2 linked regions of the Mus musculus genome follow. The protein of the gene in region 2 purifies or fractionates together with the protein of the main gene of each other region. This does not show direct contact. Links are inferred from orthologs where the notes say so. Each region holds a gene or a part of one and is shown on either strand. Other genes may lie near its edges.

Evidence for each region.
Region 1: the proteins of Mapk7 (region 2) and Pfdn2 purify together in Homo sapiens (affinity purification with mass spectrometry; 3 studies listed by BioGRID and IntAct, with this or other methods). This does not show direct contact. The link is inferred for Mus musculus from reciprocal best matches to the Homo sapiens genes MAPK7 and PFDN2.

What each region holds. Positions count from the first base shown.
Region 1 is NC_000067.6:171,342,977-171,350,848, forward strand, and holds the start of Pfdn2 (prefoldin subunit 2), read left to right. Parts: upstream 1-2,698; 5' UTR 2,699-2,735; coding exon 2,736-2,810; intron 2,811-7,872. Other genes in the region: Nit1 (deaminated glutathione amidase), read right to left, coding at 462-587, 718-851, 1,088-1,191, 1,312-1,563, 1,938-2,024, 2,592-2,593. UniProt on the Homo sapiens protein: Binds specifically to cytosolic chaperonin (c-CPN) and transfers target proteins to it. Binds to nascent polypeptide chain and promotes folding in an environment in which there are many competing pathways for nonnative proteins.
Region 2 is NC_000077.6:61,489,381-61,497,565, forward strand, and holds the start of Mapk7 (mitogen-activated protein kinase 7), read right to left. Parts: upstream 4,887-8,185; 5' UTR 4,700-4,886; exon of another isoform or gene 4,575-4,699; 5' UTR 4,499-4,574; coding exon 4,267-4,498; exon of another isoform or gene 4,242-4,266; coding exon of another isoform or gene 4,217-4,241; exon of another isoform or gene 4,126-4,216; intron 3,806-4,125; exon of another isoform or gene 3,712-3,805; coding exon of another isoform or gene 3,690-3,711; coding exon 3,524-3,689; exon of another isoform or gene 3,470-3,523; intron 2,307-3,469; coding exon 1,228-2,306; intron 1,125-1,227; coding exon 469-1,124; intron 118-468; coding exon 1-117. UniProt on the Homo sapiens protein: Plays a role in various cellular processes such as proliferation, differentiation and cell survival. The upstream activator of MAPK7 is the MAPK kinase MAP2K5.

The DNA of each region.
Region 1 (7,872 bases), on a different chromosome or scaffold from region 2:
AAGTAGAAAGGAGGAGTGTTTGTGTTTTGTACTTTTGAGATAAGGTCTCCCTGTGTAACCCTGGCTGGCTTAGACCCACAGAGATCTGCCTGCCTTTGCCTCACAGTGCTGAGATGAAGAGCATGCACCACCATGCCCCACTCTTTGAAGGTGTGGGTTGCTTTTTTGTTTTTGAGACAGGGTTTCTCTGTGTAGCCCTGGCTGTCCTGGAACCCACTCTGTAGACCAGGCTGGCCTCAAACTCAGAGATCCACCTGCTTCTGCCTCCTGAGTGCTGGGATTAAAGGTGTGCACCCCCACTGCCCAGCTTCTATTTTGTTTTCTTTTTTAGTCAAGGCATGCTGGCTTTGAACCTGTGGCTATCCACTGAAGTGCTTGGATTTAGGTTTGTACCACTCTGCTCCCACTACTAAAAGTAAGGTTAAAGGAGGCCTATATGTTATGAAGAGGCATTCTCTTACCTCCCAGTGGGCTGGACCTGTAACAGATCCAAAGGCTGAAGGATAAGTAAGTATTTCTGCCCCAGCTTGAGCCAATTTCAAAGAAAGTTCAGGGAACCGCATGTCATAACAGATTGCTAGACCAACCTGAAATGAGAAACAACCCACTCATCTTCCCTGTCCCATTCAACAGAACACTGAGTGCCTTCATTAGCCTGCACCAATGGGGGGTGTTACCACTTTTCAACATAGTCCCATTTCCTTTCCAAACTCCCACCTTGCCAGCCGGTGTCTTGACAGGTGGCTCAAGAGTGCCTCCAGGCTTGGTATAGTTGCTTTCTCTCATCGGCCCCTGACCTGGGATCTCTACATCGCACAGATGTGTCTTCCTGTAACTGGCCACTACTGATCCTAGAGAGAGAGAGAGAGAGAGAGAGAGAGAGAGAGAGAGAGAGAGAGAGAGAAAATACTCAGTACAGACACTCTACAAGTCCAGCTTAGCTCTTCTCCCAAAGAGTAACTTGTAGGCTGAGAACAGAAGCATAAAACCCCAAGGCCAAGCAGTTGAGAAAGAAATGCTGAAGATCTGAGTTGAGGAAAGGTAGAGAAGCCTGGGAAGAGGCAAACTAAGGGCTATGACGTCTCACCCTTGCTGTTCAAAAGCACATGACAATTGTAGATTTTCTGATTCTGCTCCCAGTCTTGGCCACGCTCGTGGAAACCGCCCAAGGACAGCCAGATTCCACATTCCCTGGGGGGGGGGGGGGACACGACACACACAACTCTACCCCCTCTGTGGCAATCCAGGAACACTGCTCAACAGGGAGTTCTACACACACAACCCCCCCCCCCCCAAACCCTACCCTTGTACCTGGCAAGCTGGCTATATTGGCCCAAAAGATCCCCATTCAGTGGTTCGGACAGGAGTAATGTCTCGGCAGGGTTTCGTGCAATAAAGTCAAATGCCTCAGGCAGAAAGGCCAGGCAAGCACCCAGTCTGGCAGCCTCTTGAACCAACTCAGCACATGTTTTAAAGTTCTCTTGCTTGTTTGGTGTTGATGTTACCTGGCACACAGCCACCAGGGGCAGCTCCCAGGAAGTTGATGAGGACATGGTTCTGGGCCTGTGAATGACACAGGCAGTATCCTCAGATTTTCTATCTAGGAGAAACTCAGAGGCTCAAGTGGGGGTGGAGCCAGAAACTTTATTTTCTTTTGACTTTTTTCTTTTTTGAGACACGGTCTTTTGTAGCCCAGACAGGCCTTTCTATGTAACTGGGGATGACCTTAAACTCCTGGTTGATCCTCCTTTTTTTCGAGTGCTGGCATTACAGGTGACCCCAGCAACTTGTTTTCATTCTTACAGAGCATAATAACCCTAGAGCTACTGGAGTTCACTCATTACATGTTTGGAGATATCTTTGTCTCCCACTATGAAGTTAATAAACACGAACTAAGCAGCTATGCGCCAGAGAGAGAACATTACGAAATATGTTACCTGGGCTGAGTACAAAGTACTGGGGTTCGAAGTAATCGGTATCCGGTACACAGGAGTTGGTGAGGAGGCCTGGTGATGAAGCCCAGCCTGAAGAAGGTGAGAAATCAGGACACCTAACCCTCTTTCAAGCCGTAAGTTTCTAGAATTCTCTGCCATTTCCAGGCCTGGCCAGTAATCCCCTCCCCCAAGGCTTCGAAAATACTTTTTACTACTAGTAGCTAGGAAAAGATATAAAATGGGAAAATGGGAGAGGCGACTATGATCGGTGCCTTAATACCTCAACTTCCAGTGATCTCACATTAAAACTGAAGCCCTTTTTCCTTTGCCAAACGTTTCCGCAGTTCAAGTCATCTCATGGAACCTTCCTCGTTTCCCCAATTCTCTTCTCGGCTGTGCCACCTGCACAGCTTTATAGACTCAACACGTATCTTTCCCCTTATACCCGAATCTCAGAAGGAAAGTTCACCCTCCCTAGATCTCCACCATCTCATGGTGGGTAGATGGGTACAGGACCAGATCCCAACCCGAGCCCCCGCCCTCTGATTAGCGCGTCCTTCCCCGCCTCTCCCCCCCGGGCAAGAATCTCTGTTGCACAAGTTAAAGCATCGCAGGTGGAATTCACCGCAGCGGGCAGGGTTTGGGAGTAGGTCCTACATGAAGACACAGCCAAAACCATTCACGGGGTCGGATCTCAAGAGCTGCCAGGAGCCAGGAGCGCAGGAGCAAGTGGGCGGTAACCCCCCGGCCGGATGTGACGCAGTGAGAGTGCGCAGGCCGGAAAGCTTGCAGGTGGGGAAGATGGCGGACAGCAGCGGTCGTGTGGGCAAGAGCGGCGGGAGCGGCGCGGGGAAGGGGGCGGTGTCGGCGGAACAGGTGAGGAGCCGCGAGCGCACAAGGCACCCGGGGCGGTGTCGAATTCGTGTAGAAGATAAGATTTGTGGCTCGAAGGGGCCTTTAGTCCTTTCCACGGTCTCCATGGGCACGCACGGGGGAGAGGGGGTCTCTGGAGGTGATCACGAACCTTTCTAGAGCCTGGGTAGGTAGGGGAGAGGCACGCCCGCGGTGTGGGTGGGTAGTCAAGGGAGAAAGCCCTGAGCTGCAGGGTCTGGGAGGGTTGGCCAGGTCTCTGAGAAGATGGATCGTAGTTTGCCCCCTCTCCGAGGTACCCTAAAGAGCGTATGGTGTTTGGCGTGGCATCTAGTAACGAATTCCAAGCTGTTCTTAGTCAGTGAGTGGCTTATGTAGTTCATGGCTCAAAAACCGTGTTCACCATCACCAACACGCTGCAGAGCCACGTGACTCAGACTCTGAGCAGTTTAGTGTTCCGTAAATTATTTTGACTAAGGAGTCTGTGGTTTGTTTGTTTGTTTGTTTTGTCTTGGAGGTGGGGATGAGGGTTGCTATAGGGTCGGGTCCGGCCTTGGCTTTTCCGGAATTCACTTTGTAGACCAAACTGGCCTGGAAGATCCGCTTGCCTCTGCCTCCCACATACTGCGATTAAAGGCTCGGATTATTTCGTCTTTGAGACACGGTCTTACTAAGTGGCCTACGCTGGCCTCGAGCTTGCTCGGTGTGCTCTCTTTGCAAAGATTGACTTCGGAAGAGGGCAGAACCCACCCCCCACCCCCTCTCTCTTTCTCTTTCTCTCTTTCTCTCTTTCTCTCTCTCTCTCTCTCTCTCTCTCTCTCTCTCTCTCTCTCTCTCTCTCTCTTTCTTTCTTTCTTTCTTTCTTTCTTTCTTTCTTTCTTTCTTTCTTTCTTTCATGTGTGAGTACACTGTAGCTGTCTTCAGACACTCCAGAAGATGGAGTCCGATCTCATTACGGATGGTTGTGAGCCACCATGTGGTTGCTGGGATTTGAACTTTGGAAGAGCAGTCGGTGCTCTTAACAGCTGAGCCATCTCACCAGCCCCAGAAGAGTAATTTTAATCATAGGTACATTTGTCAGTTGGTTGTTGAACAATTCCTACAGGTAAAAGCATCAGCATAAAGAGTCTAAAACCCACACTGTCAAAGAGTTAGAAAGTAAGTGTTCAGGGAGAACTGAAGTGCAGGGGAATTCTGGAGATGGAAGAGGGTGTAGCCTCTGACATAGTGGGAAGGAAAAAATGCTAATGCTTTGGAGAGTCCGTCTTGTGTTTGGCTTTGCTTAACCCAGAGGAACAGGTAAATGAAATAGACCTTGTCTTAAACTTGGTCACAGCCAAGTGTGGTGGCCCATACCCATAATCCCCCTGGATTACCCTGTCAGTTCCAGGCTAGCCTGGGTTACAGAGTAAAACACAGTCTCAAAAACAAAACAATGAGACTTTATGTGTGTTTGCATGTGTATGTGCATATACCACATGTGTGCAGGAGCCCTCAGAGACCAGAAGAGTGGTCAAAACCTCTGATAACTGCCTATTAGCTACCATGAGGGTGCTGAGAACCAAACCCAGGTCCTCCGCTATAAAAGTAATCGTTCTTCCACCGAGCCATTTCTCCAACCCTACACTACAAACTTCTGCACATAATGAACTTTTCTTGCACAGTTTGGAGAGAGAGTCCAAAGTAGTGTAGATTTCGGATGTGGCAGGTAAGTAGGCAAGGGAATGGCGGGTAGTGGAATGGTTGGGAGGGTTTCCTGGCCTAGAATCAGAATGACCTGTGCTTGCTTTGTATTTCTTATTTATATATGATTTCTCTTGTTACCTTTTACCCTCGTCTATCTGTAAAAGCACAGTAGTTTTCCATTTCGTAACTAGAGTACTAGGCAAGAAAATCCATTTGGGTTTTGTTTTGTTTTGTTTTTTTCCACCATGACTAAATACAGAGACTACATAGTGTGTTTAACAAATGCTACTTAGAGCTGGAGAGATGGCCTCTGCACTCGAGCACCTGATCTCGCACAGACAGACACACTTGCACGCACATAATCTGAACAGTCTTTCTAAATGCTAATTTCCTTTTATTTTCTAGATTTTTTGGCTTAATTCTAAAGGCTGGGAAAAGTTAGTCATGTGAAGATTTTTTTTCGTTAGAAGTAGTGTGTTCAAAAGCATTGAGCCATGAACTGCTTGGCATTGAAAATGCTGGAGAATTTAAAGAGATATATTGCAAGACCTAAAGAGATACAGTCAACTTTGTTCTTTGACACAGGGTTTTTCACGTGGCCTAGAACTCACCAGGTAGGCTAGGATGGCTGACCAGAGAGTCCATTGATCCTCCCTTTCCTCAGCACTGGGAAAACAAGCCTCAGAATTTAAGTTCACTAGCATTCCAGTGCCAGGCAGTTCATGCCTCAGTACCATGCCTGCCTGCCTGCCTGCCTTTTTTTTCCCTCCTCCTCCTCCTCCTCCTCCTCCTCTTCCTCCTCCTCTTCTTTTTTCTCCTCCTCCTCCTCCTCTTCCTTCTTAAAAAGTGTGTTCTGGGGCTCAAACCCTGGTTCTTTGGCTCTTTACCTGTGAAATTTTCTTCCCAGCCCAATTTAAGGTTTATTACTGATGTGTGTGTTAGCCTAGTGTGTCTCTCACAAGGAAAATAGGAGCAGGTAATACTTCGTACTAGGTGCTTGTTTTATTTTCTGTTCTTTATCATTTATTGGTTTACTATTGTTGTTTTGTCTGAGATAGGCTCTCCCTCTGGAACTTGCTGTGTAGACCGTGCTACTTTAGGCCTTGCTATTCTTGGCTTTGTGAGCCTGTGCAATGAAAAGTAGCTATTTACTTCCAGCATGTAATGCAGAGGCAGGCAAAGGGTAGCCATTCCCATTCTAAGAGAGAGGTAAAGCAGGGGAAGGCTTAAGTCTGAATTCCAAGAGGACAAGCATTATCTTACAATAATTTTTCTCTATATGTGTCATTTGGAAACTCTGGGGCAGGAATTGCGCCTCTAAAATATTGGGCAGCTCCAAATCTGTGTGTTTGAAGGGCTCAGTCCATGCTTCATGCTCTTGGGCTTGGGGGCATGCCAATGCCTGCAGCTTGCCCAGTCGGGCAGTGGAAGACAGTTGCTGCACTATTAGAGATCATGGTAGCTGCCTGGCCTTCACTAAGGCTTGTTCCAGTGAGGATTCGCTATGACAGCTCCCATTCCTACATCAGGTTTCTCCTTGCACCCCCATTTTTCCTCCCACAGTCCAGTGCATCTTTTGAAGCTTTGGTAGAGGAAGCCATTTCTCCACAGCTCCTGCATTCTGCATGCCTCCAGAATTAGCACCATGAGGCATAGATACTACCACAGGTTACTGCTAATAATGCTCTCTCCAGCTGCAGTACAAGCTGTACTTGGATAAATCACTGGAGCATGCTGGGATGTGAGAAGCAGAGGCTGGGTAGACTGGCTATGAGTTCTTTCTGCCCTTAAGATCCGCTTTTGGTTCCATGATTGGAAGGACAGCCAAGATCTCCAAAATGCCTTCATGTGGTGGCCAGAGAATAATTTGCAGCAACTGTTCTCTGTTTCCACCTTGTCCATCCTGGGACAAACTCCTGTAGCCAGGCTTGGCTGCAAAGTCCCTTTACCAGCTGAGTCATCTTACTGGCCTGGCCACTGTCTTGACCTAGTTCCACTGTGTACATAGCCAGGCTGTGAATCGTCTAAGCTTTTAGGCTCTATTTTCTTTCCTTTAAAATTTTATTATTTTATATATATTAGTGTTTTGCTTGCAAGTGTGCATGTATGAGGGTGTCAGATCCCCTGAAACAGGTGTTATAGATAGTTGTGAGCTTCCATGTGGGTGCTGGGAATTGAATCTGGGTTCTCTGGAAGAGCAGCTAGTACTCCTAACTGCTTAGCCATCGTTCTTATTTTCTTTTAATTATGAATTCTGTCTTTAAGCTGGGTAATGTATTCTCGGAAAGAACAGATTTAGATCTTGTTTTATGACCAGGTCATCTGGTCTTCTTTTTTTGTTTTTGGTTTTTCGAGTCAGGGTTTCTCTGTATAGCCCTGGCTGTCCTGGAACTCACTCTGTAGACCAGGCTGGCCTTGAACTCAGAAATCCACCTACCTCTGACTCTCAAGTGCTGGGATTAAAGGCATGTGCCACCACTGCCTGCCTAAGTTCTTGATACAGGAGCTCACTAGGTAGACCAGGGTGGCCTCGAACTCACAAAGATCCATCTGCCTCTGCTTCCCAAATGCCAAGCTTTGATCTTTAAATCAGAGTGTTAAGCATTCAGCGTTATTGATCGGGGTTTGCAAATTACTATGATTTTGTTAAATGTATTTCTTTTCTTTTTTTGGGGGGGGGGTGGGGGTTTCGAGACAGGGTTTCTCTGTGTAGCCCTGGCTTTCCTGAAACTCATTTTGTAGACCAGGCTGGCCTCGAACGCAGAAATCCGCCTAACCTTTGCCTCCCAACTGCTGGGATTAAAGGCATGCACCACCATGCCCAGCTGTTAAATGTATTTCTGGTTGATTGAATTATTGGTGGTTTGTTTTCTCCGTTCTTTATATTTGGGGTTTGGACTGTGTTGGACATGGGTGGGTGAGTGTGTGTGTGTGTGTGTGTGTGTGTGTGTGTGTGTGTGTGTGTGTGTGTGTGTTCGAGCCTCTGCCTGTCCCTTATAAAGTCCAGTCTGGCCTTGAACTCACTATGTAACTAGGGCAGACCTCCTGATCCGGTGCCGGGATTACCGGCAGTCTCTATTTAAGGAATGATGGTCTTTCTTAGTTCTTCTGTTCCTGTCTTTCTTGTGCTTGTATGGTTCCATCTTTATCCTCTGTGTATAGGATTCCTCCCTCGTTGGCTTGGTAGACATGAACTGACTTGGTGCTTCTCTGGTAGTGCCCTGTTTCTTAGTCTGGTTAAATGTCTTAATATACTTTTATTGTGTGTGGTTGCATGCTTGTACAGGCCACAGCACTGGTGTGGCAGCCAGAGGGTAATTCTCTGTAGTTAGGTGTTTCCTTCTACTGTGTGGCTCCTGCCAATCAAACTTAGTCAGGCTTA
Region 2 (8,185 bases):
AGCCACACCCATATCAAAAGATTGATTTAAGAATTCCTCCAGATCAAAGCCAACTCCGTAGCCAGCCCCACTGCCCTTTGGAGTGCCAGAGAACACAGGAGGCAGGGGGTCCTCCACCTGCAGGGGACAATCACAGGTTATAACACAGGTGCCAGGAAGGACAAAATGAGGTCAGTAGAGCATACCCTGCTATTCCTGACGACTCTACCCAGATATCCCAGAGCATGAACACTGCCTTGACATCACCAAGCACTGGTGCAGATAAGGCTGACTCTAAGGCAGACATTTTCCAAGCAGCGCCTACCTTCCAACAGGCTCTCCACTGGCCTTCTATGTTCCCTCTATGAGCAAAGGGGCAGGCTCAAGGAGGGAAGCCTCCCTCTGCTGCTTCCTCTCATCCAACGTGGACAACTAACCAACCCACCTTCCAAGACCAGATGAAGATATCCCAGGCTTTCCTCTTCTCACCTGAGACTTGGACAGCTGCTGAGTCACCAGGTTGACATCAGGTGACTCTGATGTAGAAGGCTGAGGGGTGAGCCCAGGATCTGGAGGTGGTGGGCCAGATGGGAAGTAAGGCAGAACTTCTGGGGCACCAGAACCAGGCAACCCACTAGGTGGCACAAGTGACTGGGAGGCCAAAAGGCTAGTGGAAGGGGCAGTCTGGAGCGGAGCAGGGATAGGGCCAGCAGGCTGGGGAACAGGGCCAGGGGGTGGGCAAACAGGCTGGGAGGCAGGACCCGGAATAGAGCCTGCAGGCTGTAGAGGACCAGTAGACTGAGATACGGGGCCAGTAGGAGTACTAGTGGGCTGGGCAGAGGACGGTGCTGGCGCTGGTGCTGGCGCTGGGGCAGGGGCAGGGGCAGGAGGCCTAGCCATGCGAGTCCACCGCTCTAGCAGGCTTCGGTCATTGTCACTGAGCACCAGTCCAGCCAGAGGGTCAGTAGAGGGGCCCCCCAAGGTACCAGCCCCCCTCTCCTTGCGTTCTCTCTCTTGTCGTCGCTTCTCCCGCTCCTTGGCTCTCTCTTGTCGCCTCCTGCGCTTCTCTTCTCGTTCTCGCTGGCGTTCCTGAGCTGTCACGGGCTTTCGAGGCTCAGGCGCCTCCAAGGGTGCACTGGGCCCATCTGCAGAAAAGTTGGACAAGGGAAAGGTAATGGCTTACAGATCTGTCCCAGAATCCCTGTCTACCACTCCACTACCCACTCAGCTGCTGGGCCCACACACCACCTCTGAGCCTGCTCCTTAGGGACTTGAGCAGGGCAGCTTTGAGGGCTGCTTTGGTATTGTCGGAGATGGCACCCTCTCTTTTTGGTGGAGCAAGCTCACTGGCCGGCGGGGCAGGCTGCAGAGTCAGATCAACGGTGTCAGGTGCAGGATCAGAGCATGGTGGCAGTGCTGGAGGAGGCGACTCCATGGCACAGTCTCCACTTGGAGCCCAGGGACTGGGCATCTCAACATCTGGACACACAGGCTCACTAGCCACAGGCTGCAGAGAAGGCTGGAAGCGGATTTGTTGGCGGATGCCCTCCCGTCGTGCATGGAAGTCCTCAATCTCAGCCACAATGGCCTCCTTAATGCGCTCCCTGGTAAGGGCTTCACGGTCAAAAGCAAAGTCAAAAGGTGGGGCGCAATCAGGCTCATCATCAGGGTCATGGTACTTAGCCAGGAAGGGGTGGCGAAGGGCAGCAGCAGCTGAGATTCGGGCACTGGGTTCAAATCGCAACATGCGTCCCAGCAGGGAGAGGGCCTGGCGGTCAGCACCTGGGTATACTGTCTCCCAAGGCACAGGTTGCCTTGGTGGCAGGCTCTGGATATAGGCTCGCACCCTTTCAGCCCCCACAGCCTGAATCACAGCTGGTGACGGAGTTCCCAACACCATCATGATCAGCTGTAACTGGTGCACGTAGTTTTTGCCTGGGAAGAGCTGGCGCCGAGCCAGCATCTCACCAAAGATGCAGCCCACAGACCAGAGGTCGATTGCCTGCGTATACTCGTGCAGGGAAAGCATGAGCTCCGGGGCACGGTACCAGCGAGTAGCCACATACTCAGTCATGAAGTACTGGTGCTCGGCAGGGGAAGTACAGAGGCCACGGGCCATTCCAAAGTCACCGATCTTGAGCTCACAGTTCTCATTGACCAGAAGGTTAGAGGGTTTAAGATCACGGTGGATGACCTGAGCAGAGTGCATGTATTTGAGGCCCCGAAGCAGCTGGTACAGGAAGTATCTCACATGTTCCAGGGTGAGCGGCTGTGAAGAGTGAATGATCTGGTGTAGGTCGCTCTCCATGAGGTCCAGTACCACATAGCTGAAAATGGGAAGAAACGGGTGAGCTAGCCTCCTCACATCACAGGGAGAAGCCCCCCCTGGCACTCCGTCCCCTGGCACTCCCAATTCCTGAGGTTATGGCCTTACAGTGAAACCCCAAAGGACTAACAGCATGGAAAGAGAGAATAGCAACAGGTTCTAGGTTTTCTACAACTTTCATTCTTTCTTTCTTTTTTTCAAGACAAGATGTCTGTGTAGCCTTATCTGGCCTGGAACTTGCTTGCTCTTGTAGACCAGGTTGGCCTCAAACCCAAAACTCAAGAGATCTGCCTGCCTCTGCCTCCCCAGTGCTGGGATTAAAGGCATGCGCCACCACCGCCTGGCCACAACTTTTATGAAAGTTTTCTTAAACGTATGTGTATGTTTTCCTGAACGTATGTGTACTACTTGTGTGCCTTGTGTCTACAGAGGCAGAAAGAGGGAGTCTGATCCCAACACCGGAGTCACAGATGTCAGTTAGCCACCGTGAAGACACTATGCACTGAAGCCAAGTCCTCTGAAAGATCGAGTGATCTTAATCACCGAATCGGTTTTTTCTAGCCCCAACTTTTTTACAGCTTTCTGACAAATCACTTTCTCCATGGACCTAATTTCTGTCAAAAAAAATTTTTTTTATAGAAATATTCAAATCTACCAAGATTGGCCAGTATGGTTAATTTTAGAGCAAACTCTACAGTTTGCCAACAGCTACTGAAAAAGCTATGTTGAAGACTCTATTTTTAAGGAGGTATTCTGTGAATAATTAGTTGTCTGCCATGAGGACACTGCTGTGTGACACTACAATGTATTGTGTCCGTTGTCTTACAATTTGGATCTGTCCTGTCTGTCTGTCCTCTCTCCCTCTCCTCTATTGCTGTTTTGGTTTTTTGTTTTGTCTTTTGGAACAGGGTCTAGACTAGCCTTGAACTTATGATATAACCAAAGGTGGCATGACCATAAAGAGGTAAATCCTCTTGATTCTTTTCCCCTTTTGTACAGGAGAGTCAACCTAAAACCTCAAAGATGCTCATCAGCCTACCAGTGATCGACATCCCCAGCCCTTGCCCTCTTGAGAGATAAGAACTGTCCCTACCAATGTCCTGGACTCACAGCCCGCATCACTCTGGGTTCAACCGCCCTGCCAGAACTTCAGTATTACTGAACCTGGGCTTCTAAGCTGATCCCGACTGTGTCTCCTCCTCCTGGCCCACTCCTTACACAGATCTGAATTCTCCATAGGGCACAGTAGGCTTCAGGATGTCCTTGATGGCGATGATATTGTCGTGTTTGAAGTGTTTGAGGATCTTCAGCTCCCTGAGGGTCCGTTTGGCATTGGTCACCACATCAAAAGCATTAGGTATCTTCTTGATGGCCACCTGCTGGCCTGGGGAGCAGGAAAAGGGCATATACCAGAGAGTACCTTCAAGTTAGCTGCAGGTCCCTTCCAGCACTGCTCTTCTGGAGCCCAGATAGCAGTAAGTACCTACTGTGTGCAGGGCCCTGTGTGTAACATATATCAAATTTTAATTTCGCAACTGCCTCGTGAAACGGCTGCTAATAGCTCACATAGAGAGGAGGCGCGGCTAGTTAGCAGTGGTTGTGACTGTACTAACTGATCCTCCCTCCCTCCCTCCTCACATAGTCAGTCCATCCCAGATCCTCCCCATTCTTCCACCACTCCATCGTGCCAATCTCTGGCTCTAGAACATATCTCTTTTGGACACCAAAGAGCATCTCTCTATTCTGGCTTACAGGGAATATCCTTTTCCTAAGGAGAAAGTAGGCTGACTGGGAGAAGCAGGGGTTCCTGAGAAGGGTACCTAACGGGGAGCTGGCACCTAGTCCGTAAGCGTGAGTGGAACCAGAATCCCCGGCGCAGCTGATCCTCCTGGGACCGTGCGGGTTCCTCACCGCCTCTGGAAAGCAGTCCACACATGCTGAGCCTCAGGAAGCCAGCTCACCCGTGAGGCGGCGGCGCGCCGAAGACACCACCCCGTAGGCCCCATTGCCTATGGTCTCGATGATCTCGTACTCGTCCCCCACGTCAAAGGTCACGTCGAAGGAGCGGGCTTTGAGCAGGGCCAGGTTCTTGGCCACCACAGAGGCAGCGGTGTGAACGGGTTCTGCCTTCACCCTCCCAGGGGGCTCCCCAGAGCCATCTTCGCCGTCCTCCTCCTTCAGCGGTTCGGCCATGGTCTGTACGAAGCGCTGATGAGAAGATCGTCCTGAGGGCCTCTCAGTTCCGCCTCTGTGGGTTTGGAGGCAGGACCTGTGCAGCAGGCGAGAGGGGACCGCTGGCACAGAGAACCCCACGGCCCAGGATCCAGGGGGGCGCGGCGCGGCCCCGGAAGAAAGGGAGGGGCGGGGCGCTGGGACTCCCGGGATCGCACTCACCGACCGGCCGGCACCCCGCCGCCACGCCTCCTCGGGAATTTGGGATTCCTGAGTCTTGCCAACCCAGTGATGAGTGTTCCCCCGGGCTCGCTCACTTAACAAGAACCGCGGCCACCACCAAAGCCTCGCGTGCGCCGAAGCAGACCACCCCACCGGCCGCCCCGGGACCACGCTCCTCCAGCTCCCAGCCAATCGTTGAGCGGCCTCCGTGGAGGTTCCCACCCCTTTATTTTACTCTGTCCAATCAAAACTTACCGGACGGGAAAACCGCGCCCTTGTCAATCACGCGCGCGCGCGCGCGCGCCCAGCTGTCCCACTCCGGGCGGGAGCCGCCCAAGGGGTGATGCGTGCTCCTCAGGGGTGCGCGCGCAGCCCCGCACCATGCTCTCACGCATGCGTACTAGCAGCCTCCGGAGCTTGGGTGGTGGGGGGGAAGCGAGCAAGGCCCCACCAAGTTCTCTTGTACTTCTGAGCCTACTCGCTCCACAGGCCCGAAGGGCGGAGATAAGGGAGGGAGGAGGGGTGTTACCTAGGCAACAAGCTCCGCACCCCCCCACCCCCACCCCGTCCTTTTGGCTCCTCTTCCTTCCTTGTTAGCTTTATTTCCTAGGGAATTTGCTGCGCACTCTTTCGGCGCCGGAAGTTCTGGACGCCTTACCCCGGAGTAGTGACCAGAGACCCCAGTCTTTAGAGCGTCGCTGACTTGTTTTCCCCCACCCCCCCAACCACTCCAACACCCCCACCCCCACCCCCAGCCAGTGAGGACCTGGCGGGGATGCGCATGCGCTCTGAACCGGGCCAGACCCAACAACTTTTTCCCTTTCCTCTTCCATTTTTCCTCCATCCGGCTGGGACGTCCGGTTGAGGCAAAAGTGAGCATTGTTAACTCGAGAGCTAGAAAAGTTCTCGGTAGGCAGCTTAAGTCTCCAATCTCCAAAGAGATTCGGGATTCCCAGTGAGACAAGAAAAGTGTGGAGAGGGAAACTGGGATGAAATCCAGTAAAGTCTGAGTGTCCCCTTGACATTTATTACTGAGTTCTCAATCAAAAGCCAAAGGTTGAGTCTAAAGCAGAAATGGATCTTAGATATCATACACGGTTGTTTGTGTTGCCCAGCATTTGGTACTACATGCAGAAAGTTTCACACATCAATTCATTTTCACAAACTTAATACCTGCGCCTTTGATTTAGATTAAAATTTCTAAAAAAACTGGATGTACCGGCTCATGCTTTTAGTCCCAGCACTGAACAGGCAGAGGCTGGCCTCAAATTGACAGAGAGCTGCCTGCCTCTGCCTCCTGAGCGCTAAGATTAAAGGTGTTCACTGCCTGGCTAAATGACTATTTTGACAGAATGTTCAGAGAGTCTCAATTCAGTGTTACCGGGGCATGGGAAAGAAGGTGGAAAGTATTTAAATGGATGTCTTTAGAGGTTAGTGAAGATTTTATCTTAAATTCAGCGTGTTCAGCTAAGACCCCTCAGGTAGACTTTGGCTGAAATGTTCCTCTGTTCCCAGCAGTCTTGGGTATTTTTTGCTGAGCAGATAGTTCCTGTGCATGGCACAGGGATCTGCAGAAAAAAAATGCCTGCAAGGGGGAAGAGTTGAAAGAGGACGGAATCTGGTATTTTACTAGATAATGCAAGATTCTTATTCTTTGGAGCTGTTCCAGGGTAGACACAGCTCAGTTGAAGATTATTTGCCTGTGCTTCAGATAGGAAGTTACCCCTCATGGAATCAGATTTGTCACCATCAGGCCAGCATTTGCACACAGCAGAAACAGGCTGGAACCCCACCACTGAAGGATATAGCTTCTTCAGTCCACCACTACCCTCCACCACTCTGCCATACCTCTCAGCCCTGGCTCAGTAAATGACGTCACTTTAGTACTTGGACCTCTGTGTTCTGCACCTTATAAAAGCCAGGAAAATGAACTGGCCCAGAAGATTATAGTTTCAAAAATAAAAGTGAGACCAAGCATACGGGTGGGGGCGGTCGGGGAGCTAATGAAGACTATCAACGTGACATGTACAAAACTCACCTTTCCGGCTTCTGAGCCCTGGTTGGCCATGGTCAGGCTTCTGACCTGGCTCTGGTTTAGCTCAGGATCCCAAGCTCAGGCTGCAGGAAGTCACTAGGAATTTTGAGGAAAATGGCTCTTTTGAGCTGTAGCTCTGAAAGATGCTTCTGGCAATCAGCATGGGGACACAGGTGGTGTGGGAAGGCTGGAGGCAAGGAGGGGATGGTTCATGACAGGTCCACCCCACTGGGAGTGTGGACTGGGTAGGGAGAGCACAAAAACAGAGCATGACCCATGAAAAACATACACGGGGAGTGTTGAGGTTTCTAGTCAGGTGATAGAGATGTCCCCAAGATGGATGCTCAGGAAGAGGAGGTCATTGGTGATGTCAATGAGCAAAGAACTTTGCAATGGAGGCTTCCAGGCTGCCTGCCATCTCTCTGGTAGTGAATCCAATCTGATCTGAGCCTTGTCCCACCATCTTTCCTGAGACTTGAGACCCATAAGTTCCCTGGCTGTGGACATTTAACCTGCCGTCTCCAGTCGACACCATACAATCCTGGAGAGGCTCTGTACCTGCTGTCCTGCCAGTAGGATTCTCTATCAGCATGTTACTCCTAAAACAAGGTGCTTTAGCACAGGAATAAAAGTATCTATCAAACAGAAATAATGTATCTTTTTAAAATAAAGAATAGACACTGTGGGCAAACACAGTGAGTTTTGAGAGACGGCAAGGAAGGGATTATGAATCACCCCAGCCCTGACCACAACCTATGAAGGATCATCCAGTTTAGGCTCAGAGAAGTGGAAAGATCCACCCTTTAAAAAGTCAGTGTCAGCTGGGCGTGGTGGCACATGCCTTTAATCCCAGCACTCAGGAGGCAGAGGCAGGCAGATTTCTGAGTTCAAGGCCAGCCTGGTCTACAAAGTGAGTTCCAGGACAGCCAGGGCTATACAGAGAAACCCTATCTCAAAAATAAATAAATAAATAAATAAATAAATAAATAAATAAATAAATAAAAAAAAATTAAAAAGGCAGTGTCATTCCCTAGGCTTGATTACCAGCTGGACTACACACGTTGATTCTGCATGCTCATCTTATTCTACTTTCTGACTATGGATACAGTGTGACTAACTGCTGCTAGCTCCTGCCACATGGACCTGCTGCCTTGATGGAACAAACCCTTTAAGTTGCTTTGCTTGGGTATTTTTTTGGAGCTACAAGGAAAGTAACTAAAAGAAGTAAACACAAAATAAGCTAAAACTGCTAATAGAATCTGTTCTAATTATTCTTAGGAATTTTAGGAGCTTCTGTGGATAACTAGATTGCTGTCTTTTCCTGTTTGAGTTGCCCTTACAACTGGGAATTTTTAGTGTAGTGGGGGTCCCTTTTCTTTAAGCTTTACCTTTACCCTAAAACAGACCATAACTACCTTTTCTTTCATATGGATTTCTGTTGGGGAAAAAGG